Lepisosteus oculatus: one gene and its partner. The protein of the gene in region 2 interacts with the protein of the main gene of each other region in a pairwise test. Links are inferred from orthologs where the notes say so. Each region holds a gene or a part of one and is shown on either strand. Other genes may lie near its edges.

Region 1 (7,514 bases), on a different chromosome or scaffold from region 2:
ACTGTATCTTGGTCTCATTCTAGAACATTATTTCAACTGCAAAGAGTATTTCAACAGATTGGTAAATCAATTAAAACAACAAATATGGTTATGGTAAAATGCTGCTGCTTTTAAACTGAGCATCTTGCATATTCCAGAATGCTATTATTTAAACCAGAATTTAATAGGGTCTTGTAATCTGGTCACCAAATACTCATGAAAGACTAGCAGTGGTCATTAGACTGTACATGGGATCACTAGGATTCACCATTGTACCAAAACATGGTATGAATGAAGAAAAATCTTCAACCTTATTTCAGCAGACAATGTGAGAACAAACACATCAACAATATTATCAATATAATATTCTTACTGTGTGAAATTCCCAGACTGGACAGCCAGATCCATCTCACTACACTAGAATCCCGTACCAAAATCTCAGTTACTCAGTCACAGGAGACCACATATTCTCTAATGCTGGCATATGTTTTTTTTTGTCTTTCCTACTCCATGTCTTTTCCTTATGCGCTCTCTTAAGTTAATTAATAATCCACTCTCTGGAACAAGCTACCCAGCCACGCAATTAAAGACGATATCCCAGCTTCTTTCGAGAACTGACAGGATGTGCTCCTCGGATAAATTATCTACAAAACACCTAATAAGATAGGTTTCCTAAACGGCCCTTCTCATTGGAAAACATTTTCTTATATTTTCTTAATTGTGACTGACTTTATGAAATCCCACTATCAGCTTGGATTGTTTGTAGGACAGGACCCTTGTGTGTCGATCCATCCAATTTCTAACCACTTCTTCCACTTCCAGGTCACAGGGGGGCTAGAGCCTATTTCAGCAAGCAACAGGTGCAAGGCAGGGTACACCCTGAACAGGACTCCATCACAGGGCACAAACACACTCAGGCTAATTTTCCATGAAGCCCATTAACCTACCCCTATGTCTTTGGACTGTGGGAGCAAACCAGAGCACCCAGAAGAAACCCAAACCCACAGAAATACAGGCAGAACACAGAAGCTCCACACAGACAGTACCCCAGGAATTGAACCCAGGGCCCCAGTGCTGCAAGGCAGCTACGCTGTACCGCAGTGCGGCCATGCCACCCCACTGAATCTAGTATCTGTCATATGTTCATTAACGTTGACCTTTATCCCAGTACTCCTGTATGTGTGTTTAACAAAGCAGCAATATGTGCATGGCTGCGCTTGTTTTTATTTTTAAACATCATCATTCCTGTGTCTCTACGTGCTGGAGTCAACTATTCAAAATCTGATTTGTTGTTATTAACCTGACTTGACAAGAGTCAGAAAACAGCATGCCCAGGAAACATGAAACGTGCAACTGCGGCCACATCTGAAAGAATGATGGGCCCTTTTATAAAAGGCATGCCGACATCCATCCACGTGGACCGGGAGGACAGAGCCCAGAGAAAAGACCCCGGTCTTTACCACACACTGCAGCACAGGCGGTCTCTCTCCATGGTGCTGAACTCGTTGCCCAGGTGACGTCCTATCAAGGGCATCAACTGTTGATTTTTTTTTTGCCTGCTTGTTTATTCTGTTTCCAGTCTAACGGTAATGGGAACTGTTATTCCCTTACATTTTATTGCATTTTAGGGGCTCCTACATCTGATTTGCGCAGATACTAATTTTAACTTTATTCGTTTACGTTTTTGCATTCTGCTTCTCTGTTGCTATAAGATGCATTCGTGTGTTACTTTCTGAAAGGCTCACAATATCACTATAAGTCACGCTTAAATTGATCTTAAATCGGAAAATTATACTTATTTTTTTATTTCTCTCATATAATAAATATGTGTAATTAAAAATACAAATGAAAGTAACGTAAAACCACGCACTCATAATAACAATTCTTTAGTTTTCCCGTGAGTTTCTTACTGATCGTTAACATTGTAGCAATTTTAAAAGGCTACTTTGTAACATTTCACACGATAGCGCAAATAACAACATATTTATCTATATCATTTCCTCGCGACTTTAAGATAGCATGAATAGTTGAAAATCGGCTTATTGTCGTTAATTGAAAAAACAAAACACCGTACTTTACCATACCATTGCTTTGGATGAAGACTGAAGTGTAATTAAACCACAACACGGGTCTTAGTACCACATATAAGCCTTTTCTATAACAAAAGTTCATTATCGTTTTGTCTAGAGCTTTCACGAGAAGTACGTGGAAAAATATACATATTCAACATATCATTCAGCTTCCTAAATACGGGAAGAAATGAAGATCTCGTTTATAGTCGAGATATCAGTTACTTACATGTATTTATGTATATTGATTTTATGATACTTAGAGACAGTTTGATTGTATAAATCCCCAACAAATAAACAAAAGCATCTTATGAAGTATCCATCCAGCACGTTCTATATTTTATTGATATCTTTCCGCTAATGCCCATAGTTTTGTCAGTGACTTTCTCCGCCTCTCGGCATTCAGAAATTGAAGACATTTGGCTTCATAACAGTACGCCCATAATGAAGCACACTCGCCGTGGCTTGATATACAGTGTAAGGATACGGTTTCACTGCTTCCACGGCGGCTGTCCTCATTGCTTAAGAGGTGCTTGTGCTTCTCGGTGCTTTGAGCTCAACCCCCGTCTCCGGGCTGCTTTAGTATAAGCAACATTCTTGCACAGATGGAGCGCGCACATTAAATCTTAGGGTATTCGCATGCATTCGGCTTCTTACCGAGGGAAGAAGTTTTCGGAATATCTCATCCGAGGATGTAATCACGCTTCTTCTGTAGTTGGAAAAATAAGATATCCTTAGACGGGAAGCGAGGAAGACGAGAAAACGCTTCAGCTGTCTAACCTCCCTTGGCTCCTTAGCTCTGATGCATCTTACAGAGCTGGGCTGCTTATTTCATTTGCCTATGACCAACCGAGGCGCGCGACACGGATCACCGTGCACGAGTCGCGGCCGACTGCTCCTCTTCTGAACGTGCTTGGGCATTCCAGGTGCTCTGCGCTGTGAGCATTTCTTGCTCTTCCACATACCAGCCTTGACTGCGCACAAAAGCAACGAGAGACAATAAATAATCGCGCTACAGAGCATTCTATACCGATGCCTTAAAAGTGTTTGGCAGCTGTCGAAGAAACGTCCCCACCCAGGGCAGCAGTTTTAATTGCTGTGGGCCAGTGTGGGCTCATTGTATTAATATTTTAATAGAGCGTGTCATTTTGGGGGGTATAGAAACGATCATTCCACTAAACCCTAATGTAACTTCCTCCTCCCCCTAACAGGACAAAAAGGAAACGTGCTAAATTAATCAAGCTAATATTGTTTGGTTTTTTTAAGTGCAGGGGGTGTTCATCACAGAGTTGTTTTCATTGTTTTGAGATTCCGTTTTGAAAATCCGTGTGCTTTCAGAAACATTTGTGATTGTATTTTTGGAAATTTGGCATGGCAGTGTTCCTGAACGGGGATGTCGCTGTGCATGTGGACGGTGGCTTGTTAATACCGCTATACAGTAAAAGCTGGACTCGCTGTGTTTTGACCTACGAAACTACCACCGCTGTGATGGCAGTACGGGATTTTGTCACATCAAAGCAAATGTCAGGCAGAAGTATCGACCACGACGGCATAACAAGACTCCGTGCGTTGTCTAAGGGGGTCAAATTTGTGATCTTTTTAGGTCATTTGATAGCTACAATTGTCCTATTCCAAAATGTGTTTACGTCATTGTTGCACCGTGCATAGTTAACAAAAGTTAATTACAATGTTTCTTCTTAGGTCAAAGAGCCCGGATAAATTGAATAATGGATTTCTCAACCCTTCGCCAGTGTGACCTTTAAAATCCTTCACTTTACGCTATAGGCTGACCTTTTCAGTTTTTCTCTTTAAAAAGGGAAGCGGATATCGCATATGTCCCATGCAGTATTTAAGTGTCTATAAGCTCTATAGCTCTCACTATGGTTATAAAGTAATAATCAGTTTGACTGTGTGACATCCTGGAGAAATGTTGGAAGACAGAGCATAGAATATACTGTAACTTGGAAATGACATGTTGGTCACCACAGACGAAGTATTAGTTTAAACTGGTTTTAACGAGTGCAGGTAAGTGTTCAAACAGGTTAACATAGACGTCTCTGTCACACTGAATGAAAAAGAACAGGTGTGGGACGAAAGGTGTTTGGGACTGTATTGTCACGGACCTCCAAAAGTACTAAACGTGGACTAAACGTGGAGAGGCAGGAGAGCGAAAAAAGACCCATATGCGTAGCGGCGAGACAGGAAAAAGGCCCGGGCTCGATAGTGCAAAGAGTTCAGGAGTGCCGTATAGAAACCTATGCCCTCAGGTAGCGGACGTGGGGCGACCTGGTGCTAAGCGTGTCTCAGGACATCCGAACGTCAATGCTGAGCCAGGACAGAGTGCAAGACCCGGAAATATATAGCCCAAGGGAAAGAGAGGGACCAGAAGGACAGCAGGCAGGAAACTAGGGACAGGACAGAGAAGGAGCGCCCTCTGCAGCCAGACATGTATAGGTTTTATATTGCATCGAATGGCCAGTGCCACTTTCAGTGCTGATGCAGTTTGCATCTTGGAACAGGTAAAGGTTTATTCCATGCTGAAAAGAGAAGAAAGGGAAACAACGTTTCGGCTGTGGAGCCTTCTTCGGGTGTTTGCATCTTGTACCTTAAACTGCCTCTCACTGATTAATGTTGTGCAATTACCACACAGTCCTGATACAGGTTTAACTGTGCTTTGATGGGAGAGTGAGGCTCTGGAACAGGGGGCTTCAGCCAGTTCCTCAACATGCTCTGAACACTGAGGTCTACTCACTCATGAAAGGCACTCCCACCCCCCACCCCCACTCCTAGAGAATGAGTCCTGAGCCCTGGTTAAGGAGGCCTTCAAGCACCTCAGTCAAGAGAACTCAGGGGAACGTTGGAGAAGGAAGGATTGCGAGACAGATTCCAGCAGATTGATGGGTCCAGGAGAGGACATGGACACCAGGGCCTCTGAAGGGAGCAGCTGGGGATGTTTCTGGCATCAATATCCCCCCCACACACACACACTCACACTCACACCTGACGCTGAGCTCTGAGAAATCAAGGTCGGAAAGGGCAAGCGGAACCACAGTGCTCAGGACAGGCAGGACCGGAGAAGGTGCCTAAGAACCACAGAAGGAACTACACAGAGACCAAAGCTTCTGGACCTTTCCTCTGGGACACTGGGTTTGGTTACTGGGGTCCATGGGGTCTTTGTGCTGGCCTTGTGTGGCATGTGTGTCCTTCAGAGATTTGGTTTTCTGTCAGGGACTCTGTGTGCTGAGTAAACAGTGTTAAATGTAAATGCTAGAGAATAAAAGGGCACTTACACATATACCAGTGTCAATTGCTGGTCTGTAGGTGCACTGGTGTTTGTGGATGATAAAAGGATCCTGTTGCAGGGAACAGGGGTCCTAGCATTCTTGAAAATTGCTCGTTGGTGTAGTCGGCCGCCAATGCAAAAATCTTACCTGTATTTAGAGGTCACCTTTCCGTGACACCCCTTTCACCAATGATTAGGATGATAGTAGAAAACACTAACATTTGTTTGCTTTGTCACAGCAAGTTGAGCTACTGACACAGCTGTTCTGGCTGTCATTATCCACAGGGGGGATATGGCCACCAGAATTTGTTGTTTTTTTTTAAAAAAAGGGGGGTCTCTCATCTGAATTTCGAAGTTACAAGTCTGCTGACCGGCCATGTCTAGAATACCAAGCTGTGACCGCTGCTGAAGCCAAAAGTAAAACAGTCGTCAGATTGACAGCCATCAGACTGTTACAATTCTTCCTGAAACTCCTCCTGAATTGGTCGAACGTATGATTCATTCAGTGATTATTGTTGCAAAAACCTACTGAACCATGAACCATGTTTGTGCAGAAACCCAGAAGGAGCTTCCCAGTTAGAAATACGGTTTAAAAATATGATATTGTCTATTTATATTTACTAATATTAAAGTATCCTCAATAAGATTATCTGTTATTTAGTAGCATATAAAAATGTCTTGCTTCTAACATATTTGAGGTTTTTTGTGTATTTAAATAAACCCCTGAGATTAAATCATCTTAAGTGTTTCTCAATAAACTTGCTTCCAGTTGAATGAAATCTTACATTTATCCTCATTCACACATTGTATAGATAGAAGCCCAAATGGATAATCACATCTTCTAAACAAATACATAATAAGAATACATTTATCATTTGGTATTTTCAGTGTCTGAGGTTAACAGAACTATTTTACAGTTAAAAGTGATTATCTAGTAATGCTGCTCCCTCTGCTGGCCTTACCGGGGAGCTACAGGACACTGAAATACATTTATTGCATTCCATTTGAAATCAATTTTTAAAAGCTGAAGAGCTGTTTATAAATTAGATTATGTATGCTTAGGAGATGAATAACAGAGGATGATAAAATTAATAGTAAATGTACTAGATTAATATTTCATGCAGGATTTTACAATAGAATAAGTCAAAAGCATACCCCATGCTACAGAAGGAACTCCCTTAGTACTAGGAAATGTTAAGATGCAGTAACCTGATACTGAAGCCTTACAAGGCTTATTCATTATTCATAGCCCCATAGTGACGATATTTCAACTCTCACTTAGAATGAGAGTGATACTCACAGATTCAAGGATTTCAAAAAAAGGAGACAGAAACAGACCAGTGAACAAAGGGCAAATCAATTTGAGATTTGTTTATACTGGTAAAGTCAGTAAACTTATGTTTTAGTCAAAATGAAAGCATACTTAAGACCAACGTGGATTAAGAAAAGAAAGGTCTTCTTCTTTAAACAAGCAATAACGTCAGTTAGTGACACCAAAACTTATGTCATGAATATATGTAGATTTCCAGAAAACCTTTGAAAAGGCCCCTCATAAAAGGTTAACCCTCCAAATAAAAGCTTTAGGAAGCCAAGGTAATGTATACACATGGCTCAAGATGAGGTTACTGTCACAGTGCCACAGCGATCTGTTTAAGGTTCACTGCTCTTCCTGATCAACAGTGTGCTTCCCATATCACCAATTCTGACAATGAAATGGTGTGCAAACTGTCCACATGATGACAAACATGGAGAGTGGCAAATGTAACAGTGCTGAGAATACTGAGCCAGCGCCAACAGTAATATCTCCCCCCTCTGAAATTTAGACAAGCTACAGTAACAGTTCTGTTGCAGAAGAGGACCTGGTTTAAAGATGTAGCTGTGCTGTCTATAGAGTGACACTGTGTGGTTCTGTGACCACTCTGTGAGCAGACACTGGAGCTGCGCTAGTCTCCATGTTGTGTAGAATTCTCCTCTGGACCTGATTTTAAGTGTGGTGGAGTTATCCAGTGTCTAGGGGGTGGGGCTGTGTGTGCTCATTTAGAATATTGTTTGCAGCGTTGGTCAGCATACCACAATAAGGACATTATCACCCCAGAAAGAGTCAGCAAAGAAATGCAGCAAGAATGATTGTTGAATAATCTGAGGGAGCATTGTCATAGAAAGACAGGATCAAGAAACAAAAT
Region 2 (7,948 bases):
CTGTTTCTTGTGCGCAGGCCAGTCCCTCTGCTGGCACTGTGAGCCGCAGTACCGCGCCACCTGGCACCGCCCACAGATATTGAACTCTCGGAGCTGGAGGGACAGAGGAGGGAGATAAAGCCTTAAGAGACAAGAGCCTTCAAGGTGTGGCTGGTGAAGGTCACTCCTTCCCTGAACGGAGGCATTTACAATACACCTTCCTGTTCTTAAACAGCTCTGGTGTTTGTGTTCGCTCACCAGCGAAGAGGCACGACGCGTCATCAGACAGTACAACACTCACCCTCCTCTCGATGAGCGAGCAGGGTGGGTAGTGACACTCATAGTAGGTGCAGGAGCACTCCTCCTCCTCCACCAGCTCGCCGTTGGCGTTGTAGTAGCGCGTGCGGCTCAGCTCCAGGTACTGCTCCTCCACAGGGTCTGCCGGCACCTGCTGGATGGCCAGCCAGTACAGGGACTGCTCCCTGGGCAGAGACACACAGACCTAGTCAGACACCTGTGCCGGGACTCCAGAGACGCAGACAAACCCCCGAGACGGGGAGACACATGCCTGAAGAGACACTCAGACACTTTTACTGACCTACAAACCCCCAGCCCTGAAGCCAGACTGCTGATTGTGCGGCCAGCATCAGGACTGACCAGCTGGACAGAAGCCCAGAGCCATGGCCACAGACGCCGAGCACCATAAACAGATCGGGCAGCGTTTCGTACCTCTGCTTGCTGGACAGCTCCTCGGGTTTGGGGGTCCAGCCCAAGGGGACAAGACGCAGGTTGTCCAGCCGGTTGTCCACGGTCACGGAGTTGATGTGGACGACCTGGAAACATGGAGCGATGCCCCCGCGGTGCTTCTCCCTGTGAGCAGACGGAGGACAAACTGAGACGGGCCCTCAGATGACAGCGGACAAGACTGAGGACGCCAGCAGACAGGCCAGCGCGTGGACACCTGGCATGAACCTGCACACTTGCAGAAGACAGACGCACACATCACAGCAAAACCTCGCTCAGCGCTGCTTCCTGTAGCTTTCTGTGTCCTGACCAATATCTTACTTCCTCCACTTCACTCCTGTGCAACAGCAGAATGCCTGCAACGCACACGCGGACCAGGAGAAGCGCCTCGAGCTCTTCAGGAGGCACCCTGCCACTGGTCGGGCTCAAGGCCAGAAGCAACGAGAAGGCGCAGAGAGCGCGGCCTCATCCGCCACAGGTCTTCTTCCGCAGCTGCACAGTAAGTGTCGGAGACGGACGTGCGAGCCGCTCGGACACAAGGGCGCCCCCAGACCCCGCGCAGGCCGAGGGGCGGCTGTCCTCACCAGAGCAGCTCGTGCAGCGGCCTGCCCGCCCAGCGCCCCTTGTTGATGTCGAAGGCGTAGGCGAAGATCTTCGCCCCGTTCCCGTCGGCGTCCACCTCCATCCGCGCCTGCGCGAGAGGAGGGAGAGGAGGAGGTCAGACGGGGCTCTCGGACACGCCCCCCCCACTGCCCGCATGGGCACAGCGCCCCGCTCTCACCTCGAAGGCATAGTTCTCCACCAGGGGGATGTCCTGCTCGTCAATCAGAGTGTACTTCGTCTGTGGAGGGGAGAGACCGAGAACACACCATCAGCAATCGGGACCGGCCCTCGTCGAGACCTCAGCTGGGCTTCCGCTCATCCCAGTGCACCATGCTGGAGGACAGTCTGCAGCCTGACGGCACCAGCATGCCCTCTGGACACCCGACACCCCCCATGGCCGGGGGGAATGTCCCAAATACCTACCTCCCTGCACCACACCGCAAGCACAGGGGCTCCGCTGCCCATCCTCAGAGCTGCCCGAGAGGCCCAGAGATGGACCACGGCTCAGCTGGGGCACAGTCAGCTCCCCGTCTCTCTCAGTCACCCCAAATAAACCATCTGCTGAACCACACACGTTCTTACCATCACGAGACAACAGGGATGCCGCCCCTACTGGTTGCCAGTAGATAGTTACTTCGAGGATCCTGAAAGCCCTGAACTGAAAGCAGCTTCACCAGCAAGGCTAGGAAGCCTGTTCAACACTCCTACCACCCTTTGTGTACAGAAGGACCCCCCTGCTCTATGTCGCCAGCTGACTTCCCTGGAGTCTCCACTCGGGCCTTTACAGGACACGTCTGCACAGGGTGCGGGAGGTCCCTGCCAGGGAGCACCAACAAGCCGGGGTTAAACGCACCTGCATGCGCCAGAGAAGCAGGGCTGAGCTGCCTGTCCCGCTCCGGCCCGCACCTACACCGGCGCAGAAACACCGAGTGGAGCGCCAAGCCGCCAGCCGGCGGGCAGCAGGCCGCTGGCCGCATGTGCCCGGTCTCGCCTCCCTCTCCCGTCCCCCGCCGGCGGCCCTCTAGCGACCGGCGCCCCGCCTCGCACGCCACACCGCGTCCAGCCCTGCAGCGGCGAGGCGGCCGGGCTGCGGGCACGCCCGGGGGCCGAGAGGGAGAGGGGAGAGAGGGGCGAGAGGATTTCAGACGCGTTTGTCTCGCTGGAGTCGCGGCGTTTAAAGCCCAGCCGGACTCGCAGGGCCCGCAACATGCCGGCTTGTGTCACGTTGCCGAGAGGTTCCTGGTGTGCGCCAGCGACCACTATAGTCCCGGTACCTCGCCACGTTAGGAGAACGCGGCGTTTCAGGGAAAACCGGCACAAATACCCCCCCTCTCTGCCGCCACGGCTGCCCTACGCCGCTCTCCGGGGCTGTTGCAAACTGCGACGGCCGGCCGGCCGCCCCCACCTCTCTGACACACATGGCTCACCTTCCCGGCCACACGGCCCAGCCGCACGATCCCCAGCTTGAAATCCGACATGGGGCAGGAGGAGGCGCGCCCGCTCCGGGCTCCCAGACAGCGAGGCGGAAGCTGGCAGAGGTGATGCTCGCAGAGGTGCAGCTCGTCAGGGCGCCCCGCCACCCCGGTCCAGTCCGGATCCCGGGCAAAGCCTGCTGGACTCGCCGCCGCTCAGCTCGCTGGCTCCAGCAGCGGAGACGGAAAGGCAGGCGGGAGGAGGGGTGCGGGGGGGAGGGGCCGCCAGGGTAGAGAGCGCCTCGGCTCCGGCCAATCAGAGCAGGAAGGAAGGAGCGCCTGGCCAATCAGAGCCCGCGCACGGCCAGGTTGTCTTTTTTTTACCCATTTGTCATTCCTAGGCACTGACGAACCCCTTGTGACGTCAGGCTGTTCGATCGAAGTGACCAATCGGAGGGCGGGATTTCCTAGGCCTATCTCCCCCCCCCCGCATCCCTTCCCCCTGACGTAATCGCGTTCCGTTACCAGGCTGCTTTGACGTTGATTTCGCGCGAAACTACACAGCGTGGCCCAGGCGGAAGGAGCTGGGCGGTCACGCATCCACGTGATCCAGCACGCCCGAGAGCTCGAAGCAGAAACCAGTTCGGTATCGCATGGGCTGTTGCAATAAACACGTGACAGGAGAATATGTGAATGGGCTTGTAATAAATGTCAATCACATCCTGCTGTTAGAGTGGTCTTTGTGATCCAGGGGACGTTTATTAAAGGACATTTAAGGCACTGGCAAGGCAGGAGTAAGAGGTCTAGCGCCCCCCGGCGGCGTGTGTCGTGCACGGCAGCACGATTTCTCTCGTGTCTCAGGCTTTCACCCAGAGAGACGCCCGACTCTGATGGGTGAGACGTTAAGACTGAGGTGTCTGGCAGGTCACGAGTAAGCACGCGGTGAACCTCTCTGTACCCGATCGTTCAAGTGATCGAGATTCATTTATTCGATTCATTGCATCGGCATCAAGAGCTACAACACAGACAACAGTTTCCGAAGTGAAAGTGCAGTAGACCCGACGGCCGTCACGGGAAAGGAGATGGACAGCGCGGACTGCCCGCACCAGAGCCTCACAGCGAAGTGAAAACTCGCACAAGGAGTCCAGAACGTGACCCAGATTACACCGGGTCCGAGTGAAGCGTCTTCTGGTGGCGAGCGGGAGAATTACAGGCGGTTGCACCGTGAGAGAGCTTACTGTTCGCCCAAGGGGTTGAGTCTGCGTGGATGTGGGAAATCCACGCGTGTAAATGTCTTGCCGAGACAGGCAGAAAGTACGACTCCCGGTGCAGTGCACCGAAAGGGGGGAAAGTCCAGGGAGAGAGAATTGATGATTTACCAGGACTGCTCTCACGCAGCGCCGGGCGCCCCGCTGGGTGTGTGGAGAGGAATGCACAGTGTGCGCGACTGCTCTGCCCCTGAGCGCCGTGTCTTCAGCCCTTCAGCCTGCCTGGGCTGTGGCTCAGACCTACCTTCCTCCGGGATCATTGCGACATGGAAGGTTGTGTTTCCTGTTTCACAAAGCGCAGTGCAAGTGCGGTACTGGCTGGAAGGAGCTCCATGTGGCTTAAAACGCGCAGTGCCGTTGAACGGCTTCAGAGGGAGTCAGGGCGAGAGGAAAGACGAGCGAGCACTGGCGAGCATCGGGTCTGAGGTCTGGAGACCCCCCTCCTCCTCTTCTCCACTGGCTCCCAGTGCCGCGCTGACCTTTACCTGCACTTCCGTGTCGGTGCTTCCTCTCACCTGTCACAGGTAACTGCTCGCTCTCTCTCCGGCACACACCTGTCGCGCTCCTGTGGCGGAGCCGGGCGGGTTTCCGCAGATATCAGACAGAAACAAGGGGGCACCCGGCTGGGGCGCAATGAGCACCGCAGAGGCGAGGGGCGGCCCGCTGACGGCCGTGTCCCCGTTGGACAGCGGCACCCCGGCGGGGGACAGCGCCCACAGACACCCGGGGCCCAGCACGCCGACAGCTGGCGCTCCGTCCGCCGCCACCCGCCTGAACGGGGCCAACGGCGTCAAGATCGGAGCCGCCGAAACCGGCACCAGGAGCCCAGACCGGGCGGGGGAGCCGGCGCTCAAGGGGGCAGGAGCGAGGGAAGGCGAGCCGGGCCGGCGGGGTGCAGAGCAGGGGCCGGAGCTGGCCCAGAGAGCTGGTGCGGTCCGGGTGAGTTCCGGAGGGCGCTGCTGCCAGGCAGCCAGAAACAGCGGGTTACAAACTCGGGACAATAGCAGCTACAGTAGCTCTCTCAGCAGTGACGGGCATGGCCATGTCTTTGTGACACCGCCCTGCTGCAGGAAGGCTGTGAGTAAACAGAGTCGACCTGTCGGTCAGAACAGAGCCCCTGCGCTGCCCCAGCCTGTCCTGCGGGGCCGGTTGCCGGGGCTGTGAGGGAGACTCCCCGTGTCGCGATGAGAGTCACCTGACGGCGCAGCGTGACGGGGAAGCGCCGTGAAACAGTGCCGAGAGTGGGGGAGGACTGCGGGCGGGCACTATCTGCGCCTCGGTGCGTTATTGGCAGGACAGTGCTGCCAATGCAGATACAATTAACACAACATTTACAGACGCGGATATTATTGGACAATAATCACGTAAAACACCACTGTGAGACAGACTCACTGTCTGTTGCTCCAGCTGGAACAGGAGATCACACACTGGGCTGATGAGTTTACTCCCAGTAGGACTGGAGGCTCTTCTGATACTGGCAGGAATTCTGGTGTTAGAGTTGCTTTTAATTATAGGAATATTTATTATAAGAATAATTACCTCTCAGTTACGCTCCTGGTCTCAAAGTGTCCCTCAGTGTCTCAGGGTCTCTCAGTGTGTCTCAGTGTCCTCAGTGTGTCTCAGTGTCCTCAGTGTCCCTCAGTGTCTCAGGGTCTCTCAGTGTTTCAGGGTCTCTCAGTGTGTCTCAGTGTCCTCAGTGTGTCTCAGTGTTTCAGGGTCTCACAGTGTATCTCAGTGTCCTCAGTGTCCCTCAGTGTCTCAGGGTCTCTCAGTGTCCCTCAGTGTCCTCAGTGTGTCTCAGTGTTTCAGGGTCTCTCAGTGTCCCTCAGTGTCCTCAGTGTGTCTCAGTGTTTCAGGGTCTCTCAGTGTGTCTCAGTGTCCTCAGTGTGTCTCAGTGTTTCAGGGTCTCACAGTGTATCTCAGTGTCCTCAGTGTGTCTCAGTGTCCTCAGTGTCCCAGGGTCTCTCAGTGTCCCTCAGTGTCCTCAGTGTGTCTCAGTGTTTCAGTGTCCCTCAGTGTGTCTCAGGGTCTCAGTCTCCTGTCACCTCCTGTCTCAGAACCAGCTGGTGGACACGTGTGAGAAGCTGCAGCTGAAGGCCCTGCGGATCGAGCGCTTTGTGAACAATGTGCTGCCGCCCCATGAGCTGGACCTGCAGGTCAGCACCGGCCCACCTGGGTCAGAACCCAGGAGCAGACACATAGCAGTGCAGTCGTGTGCTCTGCCCTCCTGCTGGACCCTGACTACCGGACACTGACCTCCAGACCCTGACTATCAGACCCTGACTACCGGACCCTGACCTCCAGACCCTGACTGCTGGACCCTGACCACCAGACCCTGACCACCGGACCCTGACTATCAGACCCTGACTACCGGACACTGACCTCCAGACCCTGACTGCTGGACCCTGACCTCCAGACACTGACCTACAGACCCTGACCGGCGGACCCACACCTCCGGACCCTGACCGCCGCTCCCTGACCCCGTGTCGTGTGTGTGTGTGTGTGTCCCAGGGCGGGGCCAGCCGCGCGCGGGACGCGGTGCTGCGGCGGCTGGCGGCCGTGCGCGAGGCCTGTGACGAGGAGGAGCAGCGCCTCCTGGAGGCGGTGCAGCGCGAGGAGGAGCGGGTGCAGCACAGCCTGCTCACCCAGCGGGCGCACTGGGCGCAGGCCCTCGGCTCGCTGTCCGCCGTGCGGGCCCAGCTGGTGCGCCTGCTGACGGAGACCGAGGACCGGCAGCTGCTGGTGAGCCTGGGGGCCGGGTCAAAGGTCAGGGACAGGCGGGCTCGCGCTCATTCTCCCAATCCTCACCCGTTCTGCTCTCTTCAACAGGACTGCTCCCAGGAGATCTCGGACAGGTGAGCGGCTCTGGCCCCCAGGGCTAACGGCAGCTCCGAAAACACCCCAGGCCCGCCAGTCACCCCCGCTCCCTTCTTCTCTCGCAGGGTGGAGGTGGCAGAGGGGGTGGGGGAGCCCCAGGACTCCGAACACTTGACCTTTAACCCCAGGAGCAGCCAGAGCTCGTTGCTTTTGAACCTGTGGGCGAATGCCGTGCTGCTGTGTCGCTCTGGTCAGTGCGGTGAGTTGTCTGTGTGCACAATCGGCAGAGGTGTGAGTGGGGCCAGTGGGGGGCGCTCACCCTGCGGTCTGTGTGGGTCCTAATGCCCCAGTTTAGTGACGGGGACACTGTACTGTAGAAAAGGATGTCAAACCAAGGTCCTGACTCTCTGTGATCATTAACAATCCCAGGGTGTTTCTCGAATACAGTAAGGGTGTTAATCTCAGTGTCCTGGCCACAGATTTCCCCCCTGACCTTCACCGATCATGGCCTCCTAATAACCCCCCTCTCTGAACTGGCTCCATCACTCTGCTCTCCTCCCCACTGAGAGCTGGTGTGTGGGGAACGGACTGAATGGAGTGTCCGGAAAAGCACTAGATAAGTGTAAGGAATTATTATTATTTAAAAGTGTATCCCTGTGTAGCATTCTGATCCTGTCCGGATTTTCCCAGTTGCAGGCTCTTGTACAATCCATGCAGGAGACTTCAGATGTGTTTTCAGTGTTACTGTGTGCTGGTCTGTGCAAATACCAGTCTGACCAGTAGCAGCTGCTGGAAAAGCCTGGAGTGCAGAAGGAGTCAGCTCCTGTCCCCCCCCTCTCTCCTCCGCAGACCCTGAGCCCCTGAGCTTTGACGAGCGGACGGTCAGCCCCCTGCTGTCCCTCTCGGACGACGGCCGAACCCTGACTTTCCTGCCCAGGCGCGCGCGCCAGCCCCAGCAGTACAGCCCGCTGCGCTTCGACCGCTGGCCCAACGCGCTGTGCGGCCGCAGCTTCTCCTCGGGGACGCACCGCTGGCTGCTGGAGGTGGGGCGCAGCGCCGCCTTCAAGGTGGGGGTGAGCTACGGCAGCCTGGAGCGCAAGGGCCCGGGGAACGGGGCCCGGCTGG

What was found.
Region 1: the proteins of zmynd19 (region 2) and enox1 interact in binary tests that used the Homo sapiens proteins (3 or more experiments, as listed by UniProt). The two-hybrid records come from large-scale screens. The link is inferred for Lepisosteus oculatus from reciprocal best matches to the Homo sapiens genes ZMYND19 and ENOX1.

What each region holds. Positions count from the first base shown.
Region 1 is NC_090710.1:16,414,957-16,422,470, reverse strand, and holds the start of enox1 (ecto-NOX disulfide-thiol exchanger 1), read right to left. Parts: upstream 3,010-7,514; 5' UTR 2,706-3,009; intron 1-2,705. UniProt on the Homo sapiens protein: Probably acts as a terminal oxidase of plasma electron transport from cytosolic NAD(P)H via hydroquinones to acceptors at the cell surface.
Region 2 is NC_090719.1:406,703-414,650, reverse strand, and holds the start of zmynd19 (zinc finger MYND domain-containing protein 19), read right to left. Parts: upstream 3,020-7,948; 5' UTR 2,805-3,019; coding exon 2,754-2,804; intron 1,565-2,753; coding exon 1,505-1,564; intron 1,415-1,504; coding exon 1,308-1,414; intron 850-1,307; coding exon 709-849; intron 462-708; coding exon 281-461; intron 94-280; coding exon 1-93. Other genes in the region: bspry (B box and SPRY domain-containing protein), read left to right, coding at 4,640-4,945, 6,064-6,162, 6,518-6,748, 6,836-6,861, 6,949-7,082, 7,673-7,948. UniProt on the Homo sapiens protein: May be involved as a regulatory molecule in GPR24/MCH-R1 signaling.